Linked DNA regions of Astyanax mexicanus. The protein of the gene in region 1 interacts with the protein of each later gene in a pairwise test. Links are inferred from orthologs where the notes say so. Each region holds a gene or a part of one and is shown on either strand. Other genes may lie near its edges. The genes, in order: protein BCCIP homolog and rpl23.

Evidence for each region.
Region 2: the proteins of protein BCCIP homolog (region 1) and rpl23 interact in binary tests that used the Homo sapiens proteins (3 or more experiments, as listed by UniProt). The link is inferred for Astyanax mexicanus from reciprocal best matches to the Homo sapiens genes BCCIP and RPL23.

Annotation. Positions count from the first base shown.
Region 1 is NC_064422.1:13,960,538-13,970,951, reverse strand, and holds the start of protein BCCIP homolog, read left to right. Parts: upstream 1-5,247; 5' UTR 5,248-5,330; coding exon 5,331-5,453; intron 5,454-6,135; coding exon 6,136-6,210; intron 6,211-6,334; coding exon 6,335-6,415; intron 6,416-6,737; coding exon 6,738-6,824; intron 6,825-8,865; coding exon 8,866-9,053; intron 9,054-10,230; coding exon 10,231-10,396; intron 10,397-10,414. UniProt on the Homo sapiens protein: During interphase, required for microtubule organizing and anchoring activities. During mitosis, required for the organization and stabilization of the spindle pole.
Region 2 is NC_064426.1:17,151,909-17,162,435, reverse strand, and holds the start of rpl23 (60S ribosomal protein L23), read left to right. Parts: upstream 1-6,551; 5' UTR 6,552-6,643; coding exon 6,644-6,656; intron 6,657-8,342; coding exon 8,343-8,426; intron 8,427-9,044; coding exon 9,045-9,173; intron 9,174-10,527. Other genes in the region: si:dkey-283b1.7 (brorin), read left to right, coding at 2,320-2,579.

The DNA.
Region 1 (10,414 bases):
TTAAAAGAAATCTGTCTGATATCACAGTTCAATTTCAGATAGTCCTGATAGTACACTACTTGTATGTGTCACTCACTTAAAATCAGAACATTTTGATGCGTCATTTCAAAATAAAGGCCCTTTAAATTATAACAATATTTTATTTCAACAATGTTTAGACTGTTATTAAAAGGAATCTGTCTGATATCACAGCTCAATTTTATATAGACCTGATAGTACACTACTTGTATGTTTCACTCACTTAAAATAAGAACATTTTGATGTGTCATTTCAAAATAAGGGCCATTTAAATTGTAACATTTATGTAATTTTACACAATGTTTAGACTGTTATTAAAAGAAATCTGTCTGATATCACAGTTCAATTTCAGATAGTCCTGATAGTACACTACTTGTATGTGTCACTCACTTAAAATCGTAACATTTTGATGTGTCATTTCAAAATAAAGGCCCTTTAAATTATAACAATATTTTATTTCAACACAATGTTTAGACTGTTATTAAAAGAAATCTGTCTGATATCACGGGTCAATTTCATATAGTCCTGATAGTACACTACTTGTATGTTTCACTCACTTAATATCAGAAGATTTTGATGTGTCATTTCAAAATAAAGGCCATTTAAATTATAACATTTATGTAATTTTACACAATATTTAGACTGTTCTTAAAATAAATCTGTCTGATATCACAGTTCAATTTCATATAGTCCTGATAGTACACTACTTGTATGTGTCACTCACTTAATAACAGAACATTTTGATGTGTCATTTCAAAATAAAGGCCCTTTAAATTGTAACATTTATGTAATTTTACACAATGTTTAGACTGTTATTAAAAGAAATCTGTCTGATATCACAGGTCAATCTCATATAGCCCTGATAGTACACCACTTGTATGTTTCACTCACTTAAAATCACAACATTTTGATGTGTCATTTCAAAATAAGGGCCATTTAAATTGTAACATTTATGTAATTTTACACAATGTTTAGACTGTTTTTAAAAGAAATCTGTCTGATATCACAGTTCAATTTCAGATAGTCCTGATAGTACACTACTTGTATGTTTCACTCAATTACTATCAGAACATTTTGATGTGTCATTTTAAAATAAAAGCCCTTTAAATTATAAAAAATATTTTATTTCAACACAATGTTTAGACTCTTATTAAAAAAATCTGTCTGATATCACAGCTCAAATTTATATAGCCCTGATAGTACACCACTTGTATGTTTCACTCACTTAAAATCAGAACATTTTGATGTGTCATTTCAAAATAAAGGCCCTTTAAATTATGAAATGAAATATGAAATTGACCTGTGATATCACACAGATTCATTTTAATAACAGCCAAAACTTGTGTTAAAATAAAAATATTGTTATAATTTAAAAGGCCTTTATTTTGAAATGACATATCAAAATGTTCTGTTATTAAGTGAGTGACACATACAAGTAGTGTACTATCAGGACTATATGATATTGACCTGTGATATCAGACAGATTCCTTTTAATAACAGTCTAAACATTGTGTAAAATTACATAAACATTACAATTTAAAGAGCCTTTATTTTGAAATGACACATCAAAATGTTCTGATATTAAGTGAGTGAAACATACAAGTAGTGTACTATCAGGACTATATGAAATTGACCTGTGATAGACAGATTTCTTTTAATAACTGTCTAAACCTAGTGGTAAAATAAAAGATTGTTATAATTTAAAGGGCCCTTATTTTGAAATGACACATCAAAATGTTCTGATATTAAGTGAGTGACACATACAAGTAGTGTACTATCAGGACTATATGAAATTGAACTGTGATATCACACAGATTGTTTTTAATAACAGTCTAAACATTGTGTAAAATTACATAAATGTTACAATTTAAAGGGCCTTTATTTTGAAATGACATCAAAATGTTCTGTTATTAAGTGAGTGACACATACAAGTAGTGTACTATCAGGACTATACAAAATTGAACTGTGATATCACACAGATTTATTTTAAGAACAGTCTAAACATTGTGTAAAATTATATAAATGTTATAATTTAAAGGGCCTTTATTTTGAAATGACACATCAAAATGTTCTGATATTGAGTGATTGAAACATACAAGTAGTGTACTATCAGGACTATATGAAATTGACCTGTGATATCAGACAGATTTATTTTAATAACAGTCTAAACATTGTGTTGAAATAAAATATTGTTATAATTTAAAGGGCCTTTATTTTGAAATGACACATCAAAATGTTCTGATATTACGTGAGTGACACATACAAGTAGTGTACTATCAGGACTATCTGAAATTGAACTGTGATATCAGACAGATTTCTTTTAATAACAGTCTAAACATTGTGTAAAATTACATAAATGTTACAATTTAAATGGCCCTTATTTTGAAATGACACATCAAAATGTTCTGATATTAATTGAGTGAAACATACAAGTTGTGTACTATCAGGACTATATGAAATTGACCTGTGATATCAGACAGATTTATTTTAATAACAGTCTAAACATTGTGTTGAAATAAAATATTGTTATAATTTAAAGGGCCTTTATTTTGAAATGACGCATCAAAATGTTCTGATATTAATTGAGTGAAACATACAAGTAGTGTACTATCAGGACTATATGAAATTGACCTGTGATAGACAGATTTATTTTAATAACAGTCTAAACATTGTGTTGAAATAAAATATTGTTATAATTTAAAGGGCCTTTATTTTGAAATGACACATCAAAATGTTATGATTTTAAGTGAGTGACACATACAAGTAGTGTACTATCAGGACTATCTGAAATTGAACTGTGATATCAGACAGATTTCTTTTAATAACAGTCTAAACATTGTGTAAAATTACATAAATGTTACAATTTAAATGGCCCTTATTTTGAAATGACACATCAAAATGTTCTGATTTTAAGTGAGTGAAACATACAAGTGGTGTACTATCAGGGCTATATAAAATTGAGCTGTGATATCAGACAGATTCCTTTTAATAACAGTCTAAACATTGTTGAAATAAAATATTGTTATAATTTAAAGGGCCTTTATTTTGAAATGACACATCAAAATGTTATGATTTTAAGTGAGTGACACATACAAGTAGTGTACTATCAGGACTATCTGAAATTGAACTGTGATATCAGACAGATTTCTTTTAATAACAGTCTAAACATTGTGTAAAATTACATAAATGTTACAATTTAAATGGCCCTTATTTTGAAATGACACATCAAAATGTTCTGATTTTAAGTGAGTGAAACATACAAGTGGTGTACTATCAGGGCTATATAAAATTGAGCTGTGATATCAGACAGATTCCTTTTAATAACAGTCTAAACATTGTTGAAATAAAATATTGTTATAATTTAAAGGGCCTTTATTTTGAAATGACACATCAAAATGTTATGATTTTAAGTGAGTGACACATACAAGTAGTGTACTATCAGGACTATCTGAAATTGAACTGTGATATCAGACAGATTTCTTTTAATAACAGTCTAAACATTGTGTAAAATTACATAAATGTTACAATTTAAAGGGCCTTTATTTTGAAATGACACATTATAATGCCCTGCTATTAAGTGAGTGACACATACAAGTATTATTAGTAGTAGTAGTATTGTTAGTATTATTATTATTAGTATTATTATTATTTAATTAACATAATTGTTATAATTTACAGGGCTTTTATTTTGTGTACTACCAGGACTACATGAAATTGACATGTGATATCAGACATAACATGTGATATTATGTGGATTCCTTTTAATACCACTCCACAGCATAATGTCATGATATTTTGAAATGTGTTCCTTCTCACGCTTGCCGCAATGTTCAGTGTATGCGCGCTCTAAGAAACAGCGTGGGGGCTAGTTTGACCAAGCGTTTTGAAGTGGGGGCTGGCTTGACCGCAGTCTGACGCAGCGCGCGTCTTTAAAGGACACGGAACTTTCCTGAAGGTTCCGAATCTTTCTGAATCGATTCTGATCGGATTGGATTATCTATTTAACAGTGGAGCTGTGTTTTTTAATATATAAAGTCATATTGTTGAATATTATAGTTATAAAACAGCAACACACACCTTAATATAAAAAAATATATAATTTATAAGTCAAAGTCAAAAGTATAAGTCAAAAATCTGGACACACCATAAAGTCGTTTTAAAATTAAATAATTTAGTAATAAAGTGTTAAACAAACCAGAATATGTTTTATATTTTACATTCTTTAAAGTAGCTCCTCTTGTTTAGATGATCAGTTTTGAACATCTCTGCTGGATTTTCTCAGTCAGTTTTATGAGGTAGAGTCACCTGGAATTCAGGCTTTCAGTTAACAGCTGTGCTGAACTCTTGTGTCTTAATGTGTTTGAGAGCATCAGTTGTAATGTTCTAATCCAGATTATGAGAAGCAACAACTACCCATCAAGTAAAGACAAAAAAAAAATAACAATAAAAAATTAAGGTCAGCCAATTTAAGAACTTTAAAAGTATCCTCAAGTGCAGTTGCACTTGACCTTCAAAAACGTTATGATGAAACTGGCTCTCATCTGGACCGGCCCAGTAAAGGAAGAGCGAGAGTTTTCTCTGTTGTATAAGATTGTATAAGGTTTATCAGTGTTTCCAGCCTCAGAAACCACAGGTTACCAGCACAAGGCCCACACTTGTAAGTTGTGAGTGGTTATCTGGTGAGTGGGGTGAAACACTGGTCAGCATGCTCAGTTTGGAGTTGTTGAAGGTAAAGCTCTTTATTTCCTCCATTAATGCTGTTAAACTCAGAAACTCAGAACATTAAGTTACAATATTCATCTACAATATTCAAAATTACCCTGAGGTATTGTAATGAAAAATACACTATTCTATTATTTTTGTCTCCCTTCCAAAAACAGGAAAATATTAGAATTTAAACAAATATCAAGATTAATGTTGTGATTTGTATTTTTTTTTCAATGATTGACATCACGAATGTAAAAAATATTGAATTTGCAAACAGTGATTATTTTAGTCAAATGTAAATATTTTTTAAACGATTACTGTAATGTGTTCAAATACATAAACATAACATATATAAAATATATTATTGCATTAAAAAACAAAAGACTTTTATTTTGTATTTGCCTCCCTTCAATGGCAACCTTCAGTTCCTGAGCTGAGGAAAAGGCGGCCATGCAGGCTCTGTTTCCGCGGTTCGGCTCGGTATTACCGGGTTGGAGTAAGATCCGGAATGGCGAGCAGCCGCGCGCGGTTTCCTGCCCCTTTAAACCGCGTGTCCGCGGAGCGCGCGGTACTCCTCAGCGGGCTGGAGCTGCGCGAGTGGCGGCATGGCCTCATTTGCGAAGCGGCGCGCGGTAGGAGCGGGAGAGGAGCCGGAGGAGGAGCGGGATTCCGGGGAGAGCGGAGAGGAGGAGAGCGGGGAGTCGGAGGAGGAGGAGGAGATTAATGAGGTGAGGATTAATAAAGAGGAGCGAGTTCTCGGCCTGAGGTTCACCAGCTAAACTCAAGCTGTTCTTCCCCAAACTCTCCGCTCCACCTTAAATCTGCAGTTTTATAGGGGTTGCCGTCTGCATAGGCTCATTACTGTACGATTTAAGGTGGAATTTTGTGTTTTATGAGTAAGCAGCTTCTAACTGGTCAAACAATGCTTATCTCTGGTACAACAGAAAAAAGTCTAGTCTAGAAACTAGCTATGGATATTTGAAGTAACATCGAAGCACTGTTGTAAGTCGCTCTGGATAAAGGCGTCTGCTAAATACCTTAAATGTAAATGTTTCTTTGGTTAAAATGACTCTTTTAGTAAAAAAAAAAAGCTTGGTTCCTTTTATAAAGCAACAAAAAAAGTGTTATTGTTGTTATTAATAATAATAATAATAAATATAATAATAATCATAATCATAATAATAATTATTATTAATATTAATATTATTATTATTAATACAAATAATTAGATTGTCTGCATTGTTTCATATATGCACTGATATAAAACGTTATGAAACATTTCGCCCTTAACTCAGAGCCCCCTGACCCCTAACCTAGAGCCCTGTGAACCCTGACCCCTAACCTAGAGCCCTGTGAACCCTGACCCAGAGCACTTAGTGTTCCATTAACTTTCTTTTCTTCTGTTTTCAGGAGGTTGTTGTGGATTTTGAAGCTCACACTATATCTGATAACGATTTTAATGGGGTTAAGAAGTTGATGCAGCAGGTAACCCAAACGTAGTAACACAACCAGACGTTTATTTAATCTGGAATTAAAAGGAATATGGACCAAAGAAAATTTACTTGAGTGAATCGAGGATTACTGACTATTATTTATATATCTCCAACAGCTTTTCCTGAAGGCACATGTCAACACCTCTGAGCTGACAGACCTCATTATCCAGCAGAATCACATTGGCAGTGTGATCAGGGTGGGTGGACCTGGTATTTTGGGTTAATTATTATTATTTTTTTTTTATTAAATAGTATTAATAGTATAGGAGACAATACTTAACAGCTCTATATGGTGTAGAAAACTAATCATATGTTACATTTGAGTCAAAGGTACACTCATTCTGACACAATTAATATTAGTCTGAGTAACATTTATGTGTCAGATGTACAGTTAGGTCTGTTGGTGCTTGATGTTCTGTAAACCCCCAGCAGGTGGAGTAGTAAGCCAGGTTACCTGTGTGATCTCATCATGTGGGGAAATCAAAATTTTATACTGTGTTTTTTGTTTTCTGTTTTCAGCAAGCCGAGGTGCCGGACGACAGCGACGATGAGGATCCAGATGAGGTGTTTGGATTCATCAGCATCGTCAATCTGACGGAGAGGAAGGTAGAGCACCAGCCCTGAATATCACACACTTGAATAAATAATATATTAGTGCTATAGTGTTGCTAATTAATTGCTATGATCCCATAGTGCATAGGTCGGCAATAGGCGGCCCGCGGGCCAGATGCGGCCCGCAAGCAAGAAACATCTGGCCCGTGAGGTTGAACTATAACGAAAAAAAAAATCGGACTGTCCGTCTCAAAAATGCTCTTTATTTAGAAACTTAATTTTCCAAAACAGAAAAATTTATTAAAGATTTTTTGATAGAGCCACGGGCTGTTAGATAATCCGTGTATCATTCGTTCATTTGATATTCAATTGAGAATCAAAATCGGAAAATTAAAAAACCAATTCGTTTTTTCGTTTTTTCGTTTTTGAATATAATACCAAAAAACGAATAACGGCTTGTATTTTGTATTTTTATTTGGTTATCCAAACAAAAATTGGAAATTTAAAAAACGGACCAGGAGCCGAATTTGATTTTGATTTTGAACTTGACCCATTTGTGTGCCCCGGAAGTTACTGATTTGTTTATTCTTGGTGGGTTTCTGTTGCGCGGGAGTTCACTGCAGTGTTATCTACACAGTCTGTATTGCTGTAGGCTTTGGATGGAGTTGAGGATGGAGAGTTTTATCTTGTTCAGAGGAACTAAACGCGTTGCAGTGAAAGAAGACGATATGACAACAGAAAAAATCGGCAGGATCTTTCAGGTGTTTGTCTAACGTTCCGTAGCTAAATGTCATATTTAGTTAATGTTATTCTGTGAATTGCCGCCTACTAAATATGACATTTAGCTACGGAACGTTAGACAAACACCTGAAAGATCCTGCCGATTTTTTCTGTTGTCATATCGTCTTCTTTCACTGCAACGCGTTTAGTTCCTCTGAACAAGATAAAACTCTCCATCCTCAACGGCCCTCTCCAATTCTGTGTTCGATACATGTCTTTTTCGCTTAAGGTCGTGTTGAACACAGAACCTTCTAACACTTATTGCAGAACATCGCTGGATCCCCATTTGCTGCAACGTGCACGAAATCTCTTCATGCGTCTTACCACCTTCAAAAAGATCTTTAATTAGGCCAGAATGTGGTTCCAGTCCGGCCATGCTGCCTACAGCAATACAGACTGTGTAGATAACACTGCAGTGAACTCCCGCGCAACAGAAACCCACCAAGAATAAACAAATCAGTAACTTCCGGGGCACACAAATGGGTCAAGTTCAAAATCAAAATCAAATTCGGCTCCTGGTCCGTTTTTTAAATTTCCAATTTTTGTTTGGATAACCAAATAAAAATACAAAATACAAGCCGTTATTCGTTTTTTGTTATTATATTCAAAAACGAAAAAACGAAAAAACGAATTGGTTTTTTAATTTTCCGATTTTGATTCTCAATTGAATATCAAATGAACGAATGATACACGGATTTTAGATAACTGCTAGCTTCTTTGTTCTGTTTTTTTTTTTTTTTTTTATTCGTTTGTTTTTTTTTATTTAACAAACAGGTATATCATTAATAGCGCCCCCAATGGTCAGTCCACAGATTTCACCCACATCAGCCCACTTGAATGTCTGCTTGTCATTTTAAGAGCGCCCTCCCGCCACCGCGCCCGCCAAACAACCCCCCCCCCCCGAGTGCTTGTGGCCCGCCATGTAATGGCTTGGAAAAAATCTGGCCCGCGGCCAAACTTAATTGCCGACCCCTGCCATAGTGGTTGCTCTGGTGTTGCTAAATGATGTTTAACCGTCTCTCTAATTTTACAGGTGTTGTTGCTAGTTACTTGGGTGTTGCTTTCCAGTTGCTCTGGTATCCTAGGTGGTTGCTGTGAGGAGGTTATTTAGTAGAAAGGGGTATATTAGTATATTATATAATGTAGATTATTGACTGCCTCACCATTGTGTGCTATAGAGTAAATAGTTAAGTTATTCTGTTAAGTGACCCCTGTTGTGTGGAGGCTGTACTGCAGTGTCTCTTCAGGGTTTTACACAGTCTGTTGTTTTTCAGTGTGTAGATTATGATGTACTGAGCGTGTGTTTGTTTGGCAGGGGCTGGAGTGTGTGGAGCAGGTGAAGGAGCTGGTGTTGGGTCAGTGTGAGAAGCTCTGCCCGGCCGCTGTGTTGGAGCAGTTTGAGAAAGTTCTGCACGATTCGTCTCAGGCTGTCGGGCTGCTGCTCAGCGAACGCTTCATCAACGTCCCGCCGCAGATCGCCCTGCCTCTCTACAAACAGCTACTGTGAGTAAAATTTTACTGCAGTAATTATTCTATATTTAATAATTTAGGTTTTCTAATACAGTCGGTACACACACACATGCGCACAGGTGCTAAAAGAAGCAGGATTTTCTCCTGGTGAAAGGAGTGTTTGCAGGACCTTTAAAACATTTATCACATTATCAGTGTGCTTTAATATGCATACGCAGGACAGTGTATTTATCCTGTATGACTGAATTATTTATTGTTCTGTGCAGAAGATTATTTTAACTTATATCAAAATATTGCTATAAATACTGTGTACTGTAAAATTTATATCACAATATTTAAAAACATTTTTGACAAGATCACCCCGCTCTGTGTGTGAGTATACACTCCACAGTGGTGGCTTTTAAACTTTTCATATTAATGAGAAAACAATATCGTATCAACTGTAATTAAAAAAAAAAAATCACATCAATTTTGCCCATAGTCTAGCACTAATATAATCCTATTGAAAGAGTAACAAAACTACTGACAGACGTCATTTTTTTTTACACCACAAGGGGGCATTTAATCTTGTTTCCACCTTTAAAACTTTAAACACAGTTTACTTTCAGCAGGAGCCTGAAGGACTCGTACATTCAGATTTGGGCTTCAATTATGTATTTTGTAAAACTTCCTTATCTTATTAGAATAAACTTCTATCAGAATTAGCATTTTGTTTCTGTCTGTTATTTTATGAAATTGAAATGTTAGAATTTTTGATGACTCCTGGTGTTTAAAATAGAAATCTAGAGCTGTAAACCAGCATGTTATTTGTTTTTGTTGTTGTTGGTATTTAAGTATGTCAACTCTGATTCACGTGGTTGAACTTGTGTAAGAAGGATTTGGGTCACAGATCCCTCAAAACAGCAGCAGCACTCAGACCTACTGATCCCCCGCTGAGACTTCCTAACAAAGAATACAGTGTCACTGATGGGAACCATAAAAGCTGTTTTAAATATCTTAAACATTTATATTTTGGCTAACCTATTGGCAAAACATAAGGGGATTTATTTTAATGGGGTTCAGTCATTTTATCCATTGTGCTGTTTTCTCACAATAACCCAGTTCTGGGGGACTTCTTTTACTAAATAGCAGCCCCACAGTCTCTCACTAATCCAGTACAGATCTCTTGTTCTTCCTGTAAGAGACATTAACTCGTATCTCTGTTTAACAGTGATGAGCTGGCCGAGGCTCAGAGGACCAATAAACCCAGTGGAAGATGCCACTACTGTCTCCTCATCAGTAAAACGTGTCAGGAGGTCAGGAGGAGTGTTCCTGCTCGAGGTCCTCCTAAAGAGGAGCTTCTGTTTGTTAACGCAGAGGAGGAGTTCTTTTATGAGGTACAGAAACATACACTC
Region 2 (10,527 bases), on another chromosome or scaffold:
TACATTTTTAAGTTTCATTAAAGGGGTTAAACAAAAATATCCTATGAACTGTTTAGGAATACAAGTCTCCTCATTTCAGGAGCTCAAAGTAATTGTACAAATTATGTCAATAATGATGTCAAATATTATGGCTGCAGGAACTATTTCTAATCCATCATTATTTAAGCAGCTAAAAGGTCTGGAGATGATTCCAGGTGTGGCATTTGCATTTGGAAGCTGTTGCTGTGAACCCATAACATGCGCTTAAAGAAGCTCTCAATGGAAGTGAAACAGACCATCATTAGGCTAAAAAATGTCCCTGGGTCACCAAGATTAATGATTTGACAGAAGACAGAAGAAGAAAGATAAGTTCTGAAGTGTACAGGGATTTACTTTCTGCTCAGATTCTACCAAACGCAGAAAGATTGCTTGGACAGGCCTGAACAGTACAGATAGCCCTTTCATCATTCAGATGTGAATATATCGGACTGTAGTGTGTATGTTTACCGTGTTAAAACAAGCTACGTGGGATGAACCACTAGCTAATATCACCCTGGCTTACCGGAACACTTAGTGTTTCTCAGTGTAGCGCTGTCAGGTGGAATTGGCCACTAACTGCTAGTGGTTAGCTGCTAATGCTAATGATGCTGCACGCAATGGAAATCTGGAAATCTAAGCTTACTGTAAATAAAAAGATGCGATTTACTCCCCCAAATAAACAGTTTTCAGGAGAGAAACCTATGTAAATGAACATCCACCACTTGTTTGACGTTAAAAAATATATATTTTTTTTAAGAATTAAAGTTTTGTTTATTTTGCTTAGCTTTAGCTGGGTGGCAAGACCTGCTGAATTAGAAGGCGAACATGGTGACACCTCTGTTCCTTACTAGTGTCGCATACTGCTCCTTATGTATGAAAATAGACCAGAAAATACACAGTTATTGAAAATGTGCCTTATATAATCTGGTGCGTTTTATAGTGCAAAAATACAGTACCTTGAGTCCCTGAAATAAGGAAAAAATTGTAGAAAAATGTTTGTAATTAAACACTTTAGGCCTATAGTATATTTTTGTTCATCCCCTTAAATTAAATCTACACTTTAAGTCTACTCTTAAATTACATCTCATTTGTTTTAATTCAAGTCCAGTGTGGTGGCATGCAGAGTCCAAATCACAAAGATTGTGTCACTGTCCAAATATTTATGGGTCTTACTGTATGCCAGTGGTCAGTTACCTCATCTTACTATCATTAGGCAAACTGTCCCTTACACTGTGACAAATGTCTTGACGAATGGACCAATAGAACTTCTCCAAAATTACCTGAAATATACTCTTTTTTCATTGAACAGTGAAAATATGTGCCTATAAAGTTATTAAGCAAAAAGTCTTAAGTATCCCGATGTGCAGATGTACAGGATGTAATTTAAAGTGCCAATAGTGCAGATAAAATAAACCCATAATTTAACTTATGAGATTTAGTTTTAGCTGTCCTCATCTCTCTTCCGGTACAAAGGATCTCATAAGAGCGGCTTTTTGAAAAGGTTTACAAAATGTTTTGTCATTAAAACTCTTTCAATTTCCAGTGTTTATTTCCAGCTGCTGGTTTTCTCTGTGCCAATAATGACAGATTTTAATATGTATTTCATTTTCTGCTATATTGTACTGTATTAAGATATAAAGTGATTGACAGCCTGGCTTGAATAGACCGTCTGCAGGACCTTTATTGTTCAGTTGGCTTGATATTTGAGTCTTTCATGTTTCTTCTGGTTTAATGTCTAGAAATGTTAGCACCTAATGACTATGCACACGTCAGAATGTTTAACACTAAAAAAGTATTAATAGAAAAAATGTATTACTTAAATAAGCTATCTACATTATATATATTGACTTGGCCACAATGTTAATTGATAGACTGGTTGATTGATTAAAGTCTAGTTTAGTTACAGATTCTGAATGTTGGTTTTGAATCATCATTAACTGCCCAGCTATAGTTGAAACATTACACTTTTCAGGAAAATGTCTTTTATCTTTACTGCACATTTGGACTCTGATTGTGGATATATGTCTTGACAGGCCAGAACAGGGCAAATTAGCAGTGTCTTATATTCTGTGTTTTGAAAAATTGTGGGTCAAGTCAAGGTACAAATCAAACTTTGACCATTACTATCAGTTGCCATGTTAAGTTTAGCAGGTTTCATTAAAAGCTGCATGTAAACAAAAAAAAAAACAGAACTGCTACTTTGTGAAAATCAATATAATATTGCAAAACAGTATTGTGATACTCCGGCGTATTAATTTTTTACAACCCTACTGACCAGATGTTCTGTGTGTTTCCTCAAAGGTCCAAACTGCTTCGCTGGAAACCGCATCATCCCGGCCGGAGAGCGAGTGGAGATTGACGAGCGGACCGTGTGCTACTGCACTTACCGTGACGGCACATGGCAGACTCAGCCTCACGCCACCTGCGAGCCGAGCCAGCAGCCAGACGAGGAGGATGCATCCAAACAGATGGAGGAGAGTGAGAGAGAAAGAGAGAGGGAGCGAGAGAGAGAGAAAGAGAGGCAGAGGGAGCTGTTGCCAAGGCTGGACGTCATCCCATGAGGGCAGGGGTTCTTTGGACAGGCCAAGAGAAAAGCAGGAGGTCCGGCAGATGCCCGTGGCCAGGGTAAACACAACCTGCGTTGGGCCTGACTGCCAACGCTGACCTCTTCCACCTCCCTCTGAGCCGAGACACCTGCTGAAGCCATGCACCTGTCCCAAAATATCCAGACACCTGCTCATCCAACATTTCTTTCACAGTCAAGGGTATTAGAGGCCTCCAGCACTCATGCCTTTAAAAAAAAATGTGTTTGTTAAATGGTTAATCCCTCTTGGATGACTAATAAAAAGTAGGTCAAATGTGATCGAATGAGATTTCACTATATTGTACATTTACATAACTTGTAAGTACAATCTTGTAAAAATGAGTTTCTGATGAGTTAAGATGTCCATTGTTCAGCAGCCCATTCGTTTAGTTAACTAGTGGACCACCATCAGTCGTGAATGACAAGTTATTCTTCAAGATTTAAAGGTCTCTTGTTACTTTGATCAAACTTTGTTTTTTGATCATTGCCATCAGGTAGAAGCGTGAAGGTGTAGTTTTGGCTTTGCAGCAATATGGGTGTTAAATCGAAGCATCAACACTCTTAAGAAATAGGTTCTATAAGGGATCTGTAATAAAGGCAAAGGAGTAAAAGTCAAAGAGGCATTTGGATGAAAACATGGTTCTTAACTTAGTTAAAAGGTATAGACTAATGTATTTTTCACACTAAAAGGCGCACCAGATTATAAGGTGCACTATCAATGAACGTTTATTTTCTGGTCTATTTTCATACATAAGGTGCACCGAATTATAAGGCGCATTATGTGACATTAGTAAGGAACAGGTACAGGGGTTGGCCAATCTGAAAGCTGAAACACCTGTCATTTTAGTGTGGGAGGTTTCATGGCTAAATTGGAGCAGCCTGGTGGCCAATCTTCATTAATTGCACATTGCACCAGTAAGAGCAGAGTGTAAAGGTTCAATTAGCAGGGTAAGAGCGCAGTTTTGCATAAATATTGCAATGCACAACAACATTATGGGTGAAATACCAGAGTTCAAAAGAGGACAAATTGTTGGTGCACGTCTTGCTGGAGCATCTGTGATCAAGACAGCAAGTCTTTTTGATGTATCAAGAGCCACAGTACCCAGGGTAATGTCAGCATACCACCAAGAAGGACCAACCACATCCAACAGGATTAACTGTGGATGCAAGAGGAAGCTGTCTGAAAGGGATGTTCGGGTGCTAACCCGGATTGTATCTTAAAAAACATAAAACCACGGCTGCCCAAATCAATGCAGAATTTAATGTGCACCTCAACTCTCCTGTTTCCACCAGAACTGTCCGTCGGGACAATAAATTATTGTGGTCTAAAACCAGGTGTTTCAGTTTCATTGTCCAACCCTTGTAAGTCGCCGTGGTTCCCTTCTAATTCAGCAGGTCTCAACAGGGTTAAACGCTTCTTTTTCTGTTCGGTTATGTCATTCTTTACATACAAGAAAAAAAGCTACTTGTACATTGCTTTTTCTTGTTATTTTCTTATAAATTGTTCTACTGTATATAGCACCAAAATGTGTGAGAAAGCCCTATAGAGATGCAGCACATTGTTTATAGAGTGGGCATTTGGTATTGTTTATCTTGATAAACAACAGAGACCCTTGAGGGTTGTGTATCATTCTGTAGTCGGCTTCATGCCCAGAGAACTGGATCTAAGCTGTGTTTTAAAAATCACTGCTATTGCATTATGTGGTAAACAATACACGTGGCATTTACACTGTAGCATTAAATCTGTCTAAGCCTCTTAACTACCACACTGGCAGTCTAATATTTTGGTGAGGTTAACTTATCTTTTTTTCATTATGTTCATGTTCATTCTACAGCACTGCGGCAATATTATTATTTTTTTATTTTAAGCAACTTTATGACTGGCATTTGGGATTTTCCTGATTGACAGTGAATAAGAACATGCCTAAACCAGTATTGAATCAGGGGGTTGAATTTTTTTGGAATCCTAAATTCTGCATGCAGGTCCAAAGCTGTTTTAGAGTTGAGATTACCAAGCCCCTCAATGGAGGTTTTACCTTAAATCCACACCTTATACAGCCCCATTCAAGTAATCATTAAGTGTGTTTACATGCACTTATTCGAGATATAGATGTCGTCTTGTAAACAGCATACTCAGCATATTAGAGAAGTCAATAATCATATTTCTCAGTGCATGGACACCTACCTCCAAAAGTTTTACTGTAGACTGAATATGTGAATATAAAGCCCTATCCAGACAGGATTGGTGGGTTTAGAATCCAGTTACTTAAAGGGCTAGTCCTTCACAAACAGAAACAGAGCACCTATACAGCCACTCAAGTTTCAGAAATCATCCGTTTTTTTTTTTGTTTGTTTTCTTGTCTGATGTCTCTGTGTTCATGTTTCTGAACTCGGTTGATTTGGTTGTTTAGGGATTACTAAATGTACAGTGTCGACCAACATGCATGCAGTGCTTGTAAAAATCATATTTGTAAATATTACAGCATTACACATAAATAAACATCTTCATTTTCACCTAAAGAATGAGGTTCATGCTGAGCATATTTTAATAAGTAATGATTATTATATGCAATTTACTATTAACTATATAATACATATGCTTTTTCATCCTGTATATCAATGTGAAAAGTTGTCATTGATTAAAGATGCACATTTATAGACATGTAAATAATTATATGAAATACTCATGAAAGTTATACAGTACCAGTCAAAGGTTTGGACACAAACCAGAATATGTTTTATATTTTAGATTCTTCAGAGTAGCACCTCTTGTTTAGATGACAGCTTTACACACCTTGGCTTTTTTTTCTCAGTCAGCTTTATGAGGTAGAGTCACCTGGCATGGCTCACAGTTAACAGCTGTGCTTCACTAAGAGTTAATTACTTAAATTAATTACTTAAACTTAAATCAGTTGTGTTGTGAAGAGGTAAAGTTGGTATACAGTAACTAGCCCTATTTAAATAATGTTTTAATCCATATTATGGCAAGAACTTCTCAACTAAGTAAAGAAAAATGACTTTAAGAAATTAAGGTTAGTTAATCCGAAAATTTGTAACAACTTTAAAAAGTATCCTCAAGTGCAGTCGCAAACACCATCAGAAACATTACACTGCAACTGGCTCTCATCAGTATCAGAAACCGCAAGTTTCCATATTCCATACCGCAACACTCCATATAAGAGCACCTAAATGCTTTACAGAGTATTTTGGTTTGTTTACTACATGATTGGCACCGTATATCACCAATATTGTGTAAAAAAAAAAACACATTCATTCTTTTTTTCGTTTTGTTTTACATAAAACAAATCTTTTTGTTTTTCTTTACATTGCGTCAAAATATGGGTGGATTGATGGATTGATCGTAATTACTTATCATAAATGGATTTTTCAGAATTAAATACAACAAATAGTACACCTTAGAAAGTAAAAGAAAAATAATCAATACAATGAATTTGAATAAAATGTAATAGTTCAGACCACTTGACACATCAGGCTTGTATTTTAAAAGACAATTCTTCACTGGGTAAATTCTATGGATTAATTTCAAAGTATTTTAAAGGTAAACTTTTCACTTTTACACTTTTCGCAAAGTATAAACTCTACAATACCCTTTCTGAAGTAATGTCCTTATCTGCTTGTTATTTCGTAGCCAATGTGTTAAAAAGCATGCACTCCCAATATAAATATCCAATCAATCATGTGATTGACAAAATGACAGTGAAAACCTCTTACAATAAAGCTACTCCTGTTGTAATTACATTTATCACAACAGAACATTCCCAAATATGTATATCAATTTTTAGTATTTTTTTTAAATTAGGTCAGTATAACTTAATGGACCTCCATTAGAGTCAAGAAGCTGACCAACTAAAACAAGGTTTTACCGACTAACACTGTTGAGTAGGAGTCTGAGCATGCGCAGTGGAGTATGCTGCAGTTCGCTCCTCCGCCTGCAGGGGCCGCCGTGGCGCTGAAAGCGGAGAGCCGGAGCGTCATTTCCGAGCGCTCCCCTCTCCTCCTTCCTTTCTCTTTCCAGCCGCGATGTCTAAGAGAGGTGAGCGAGCCTGTCTCTGAATCCGCTTTAATCCTCTCTTTATAACACCTTTAAACTCACACTGCGATGTTTAACTATAATACAAAGCCCTTCTGATTTCGGTTTGGACGGTATGGAGGCAGTTTTAGTTTTAATTTTGATGATAATGGTTTATAAGTTTTGGCGCTGATGGAGGAACGGAGCGGCGGCTCTTCAGCGGGGAGCGGTGGAAGGTGTTTTAGGCCAAAACCTGTTTTGAGAAGCTTTTCAGCGGCTGTTTTATGGTATAAATGTTTTATACTTTGGTCTATTGTGTTAATTTTGGGTTAAAACAAAGTTAAAATGTAGTGGACGGTCTGTTGTGGAGCTAAGTGGGCTAGCTAAAGTTACCTAGCCTGGCTAATAGCTGTATGAGTAGCAGTTATGTTGAGAACAGCATTAGCTAACGATACTACATGAAGCTAGCTCATGGTTAATCTAAAGCTGGATGTTGGATAAAAAGGTAATACTGTGGATAAGACTGGGTCTCCTAGCTTTTAAAGGACTGTGTGTGGCAGGTTTGATGTGGAATTGTGGTTCTTTGCAGAGATAGCGTAGCTAGGCTAGGTTAGCTAACTACAGCTTGGCATTTCTGTACTGTGGTTGTGAATGAAGCCAGGCGTCACTATTTAAAACACACGTGTAGCCGAGTATTACTTTAGTGGCATTTTTTTTCTAGAAGTACTTTTTTCTTCTTAATACCTTGCATGTGTCTCTTTACCGTTTTTAATGCGGAAAAAAACACTCCTCTAATGTCACCAGGCTATGGTATTTAAACACCAAAAGTAAGCTACATAAATTAAGACTGTTATGCCATTGCATAACATGGTGTAACCTATTTGCTTCTCAGAAAAAGCAATAACTAAAGTTACAGTTAAATATTTAATTTCTCAGCACTTTACCTTCTTCCTCCCAGCAGACATATCACCAAAACCCAATATTGTTTGGCATTTTGAGTGTGTATAGCTGAAATTTAATTCTTAGAGAACCACCAATATGTATGCAGTTTACCCACATGTACATCTTTGTATAAACCTAAGCGATATTTTCGAAACAGTATTACGCTCATAAATCCTTCTAAAAAGCACTTGCTTCGTCTGCTCAGTGGCTGAGTGAGTTGTCGTGGAAGGAAATAGTAAATCCCATTGCTCTTGGGTGAGATGGCAGCTTTAATTAATGTACTGTTCAATCTCAATCCGTGATGGTACACCTTCAAATGAGCTATGTAAATCTGAACACGTCTTCATAACTATGGGGTAAGAAAAAAAAATATTGCAGTGAGGGAGATTTGGGCAGGCATTAAAAATTTCTTCAGGTGTCTGGTTTCATTCGCCCACTCTTTGTACCATTCTGACATGGCAAGATTCTTTTACAACAATTGCACATTAAATTGGTCTGTCTTTTATAGTGTTAAGTTTATGTACTCTCTTTATTCTGAGCTGATTTTATTATTTAGTCCGTCAGGTAATGTTATACAGTTTGGAGGCTTAACTTGTATGGTATGTTACTCATATGTAGTCTACATTTAATCTACTCAATAGCAATTTTTTTTCAAGCACATAACCTACAGGTACACGTTTATTTACATTTACTGAATTTGGTGGTGTGAGCTTGGTTGACTTAACAAATCTGTCAGTGATTAAATAAATGGTGATCTCTCTCTTTCAGGACGTGGTGGAGCATCTGGAGCCAAGTTCCGCATCTCACTGGGTCTCCCAGTGGGAGCGGTCATCAACTGTGCTGACAACACAGGTAAGGCAGCATGTTGCTGACCAGTTTATAAAATCTGTTTGTAACAGGGTGCTGATTTTAATAGTTTTACAGTTGCCCTGCTTTGTAAGATGTTAGTTAACATTTATTTTTCATTTGCTGTTGCTGTCACACCTTCTATTCATTGTTCACTGCAGTGTGAATTGTTGCTGGATAAAGAGAAATCAATGTAGTTTAATTATTATATAATAGAAGTTATACATTGTCAAATGTGCAGGGAAGGCACCAATAGAAATTATCCAAAATGTCTTGGAATAAAATGTTCACACTCCCTTGCATATAGGGTTATTTAGGGATCTGTAAGAGCACTTTTGGCAATATGTAAAACAAAAAAATTACTCTACTGTACTCCTTCTAAAAAGCACTTGCTTCGTCTGTTTAGTGGCTGAGTGAGTTGTCGTGGAAGGAAATAATAAATCCCATTGCTTAAGGGTGAGATGGCAGCTTTGTTTGTAACTGTTAAATCTCAATCGGTGATGGAACACCTTAAAGAACTTATGCATTCAGCAGCCTGCTCTTGCTATTTGAGAAAATATTGTCCTATAACTGTTTATGTAAAGTGTTTTTGTGACATAAACATATGTTTTTGACATTTGTTAGGTGCCAAGAACCTGTACATCATCTCCGTCAAAGGTATCAAGGGTCGTCTGAACAGGCTCCCTGCTGCAGGTGTTGGTGACATGGTTATGGCCACTGTGAAGAAAGGCAAACCAGAGCTCAAGAAAAAGGGTGAGTATATAAATGTATACAAGGAATATAAAGGCAGCTGATTGCAAACAAGTTATTTACTTTTGCTTAAAAATGCTTCATCTTTCTATGTATTGGTGTTGATTGTTCACTGCCCGCATACTTGTTGATCTTGGTACCCTTTACAGTGCAGCACTAGTGTTAAGTTTTTGTGCGCCACACCAATCCACTGTTGTTAAGCTGGACTTTTACTTGATTGCTGCCCATTTACACATTTTTAACTTTTGGTAGTGTAGTCACAAATCATAATGTCTAATTTTAACTAGAATATTTTAGACCAGACTTTAGCCTGTGAAGTAAGAGCCAGACACAGCAATGTTTGTTGGTCAGTCCTCACCTCTAAACTGAAAGGGTGTAGTGCAAGATTTCTGGGCTTTAATTACCTGCAAAGTGAGTGCCTATTTTGCCACTTTCACTGTTGCATCAATTAATATAGCCTATGTATTCAGAGGTGATGCAATTACTAAAACTAGTGACATACCAACAAGGCACAGTATAGCTGGGCATTTTGAATATTTAAGGCTGAAGTTTCTCTGTTGCTCAGTACCACCAATATTTATGCAGCTAACCCATGTTTACATCTTACAAATAAAGCTATAGTATTGCACTCACAAATCCTTCTAAAAAGCACTTGCTTCGTCTGCTCAGTGGCTGAGTGAGTTGTCGTGGAAGGAAATAGTGAATCCCATTGCTAATGGGTGAGATGGCAGCTTATTCTCTGTGCTGTTCAATCTCAATCCGTGGTGGTACACTTAACACGAAACAACTGTTTGGTGTAATAACTGTTAGGAAGCTTTTAGCAGGCTTTAAACTCCTTTCTTTTGGAGAGTCTAAGATTGTCTGGAACAAATGTCACTTCTGGCTTTGTGAAGTAACATCCCGACAGTGGTTTAACCACTCATTTAGGAATGCACCAAAATACTTAATCTGAAACTGAACCTGTGTGTTCAGAGGAATACGAAATGTGTTTTGCAGGTTTTCACCACTGCAGTGTATATTGTCTTTTTCAAAGAAAAGGTTATCACAAAAGTGAAATTGGTTCATGCACACTTGCATCGAAAAAGACATGATCTAAAATAATCCTTCGTCTTTAATGTAGTCTTTGATTATCTTGCTTTTTTTGTACTTTTGGTTAAATTTTTAGTTGATGAAAATTAGGTGCTCCTATTAATTCTCTGAGGTGCAGTCTCTCAGAGCTGAAATACTACCATGTAAAGGATTGGAATCCTAAACTATGAAAGTAGTATTCTCTGATAAATGTGTAAAAACGTGGTGGTGTGGGTTATTTTGGAGCATTTGTGCTTGATTCAATTAGTTTGTACTAAACATCAAAATG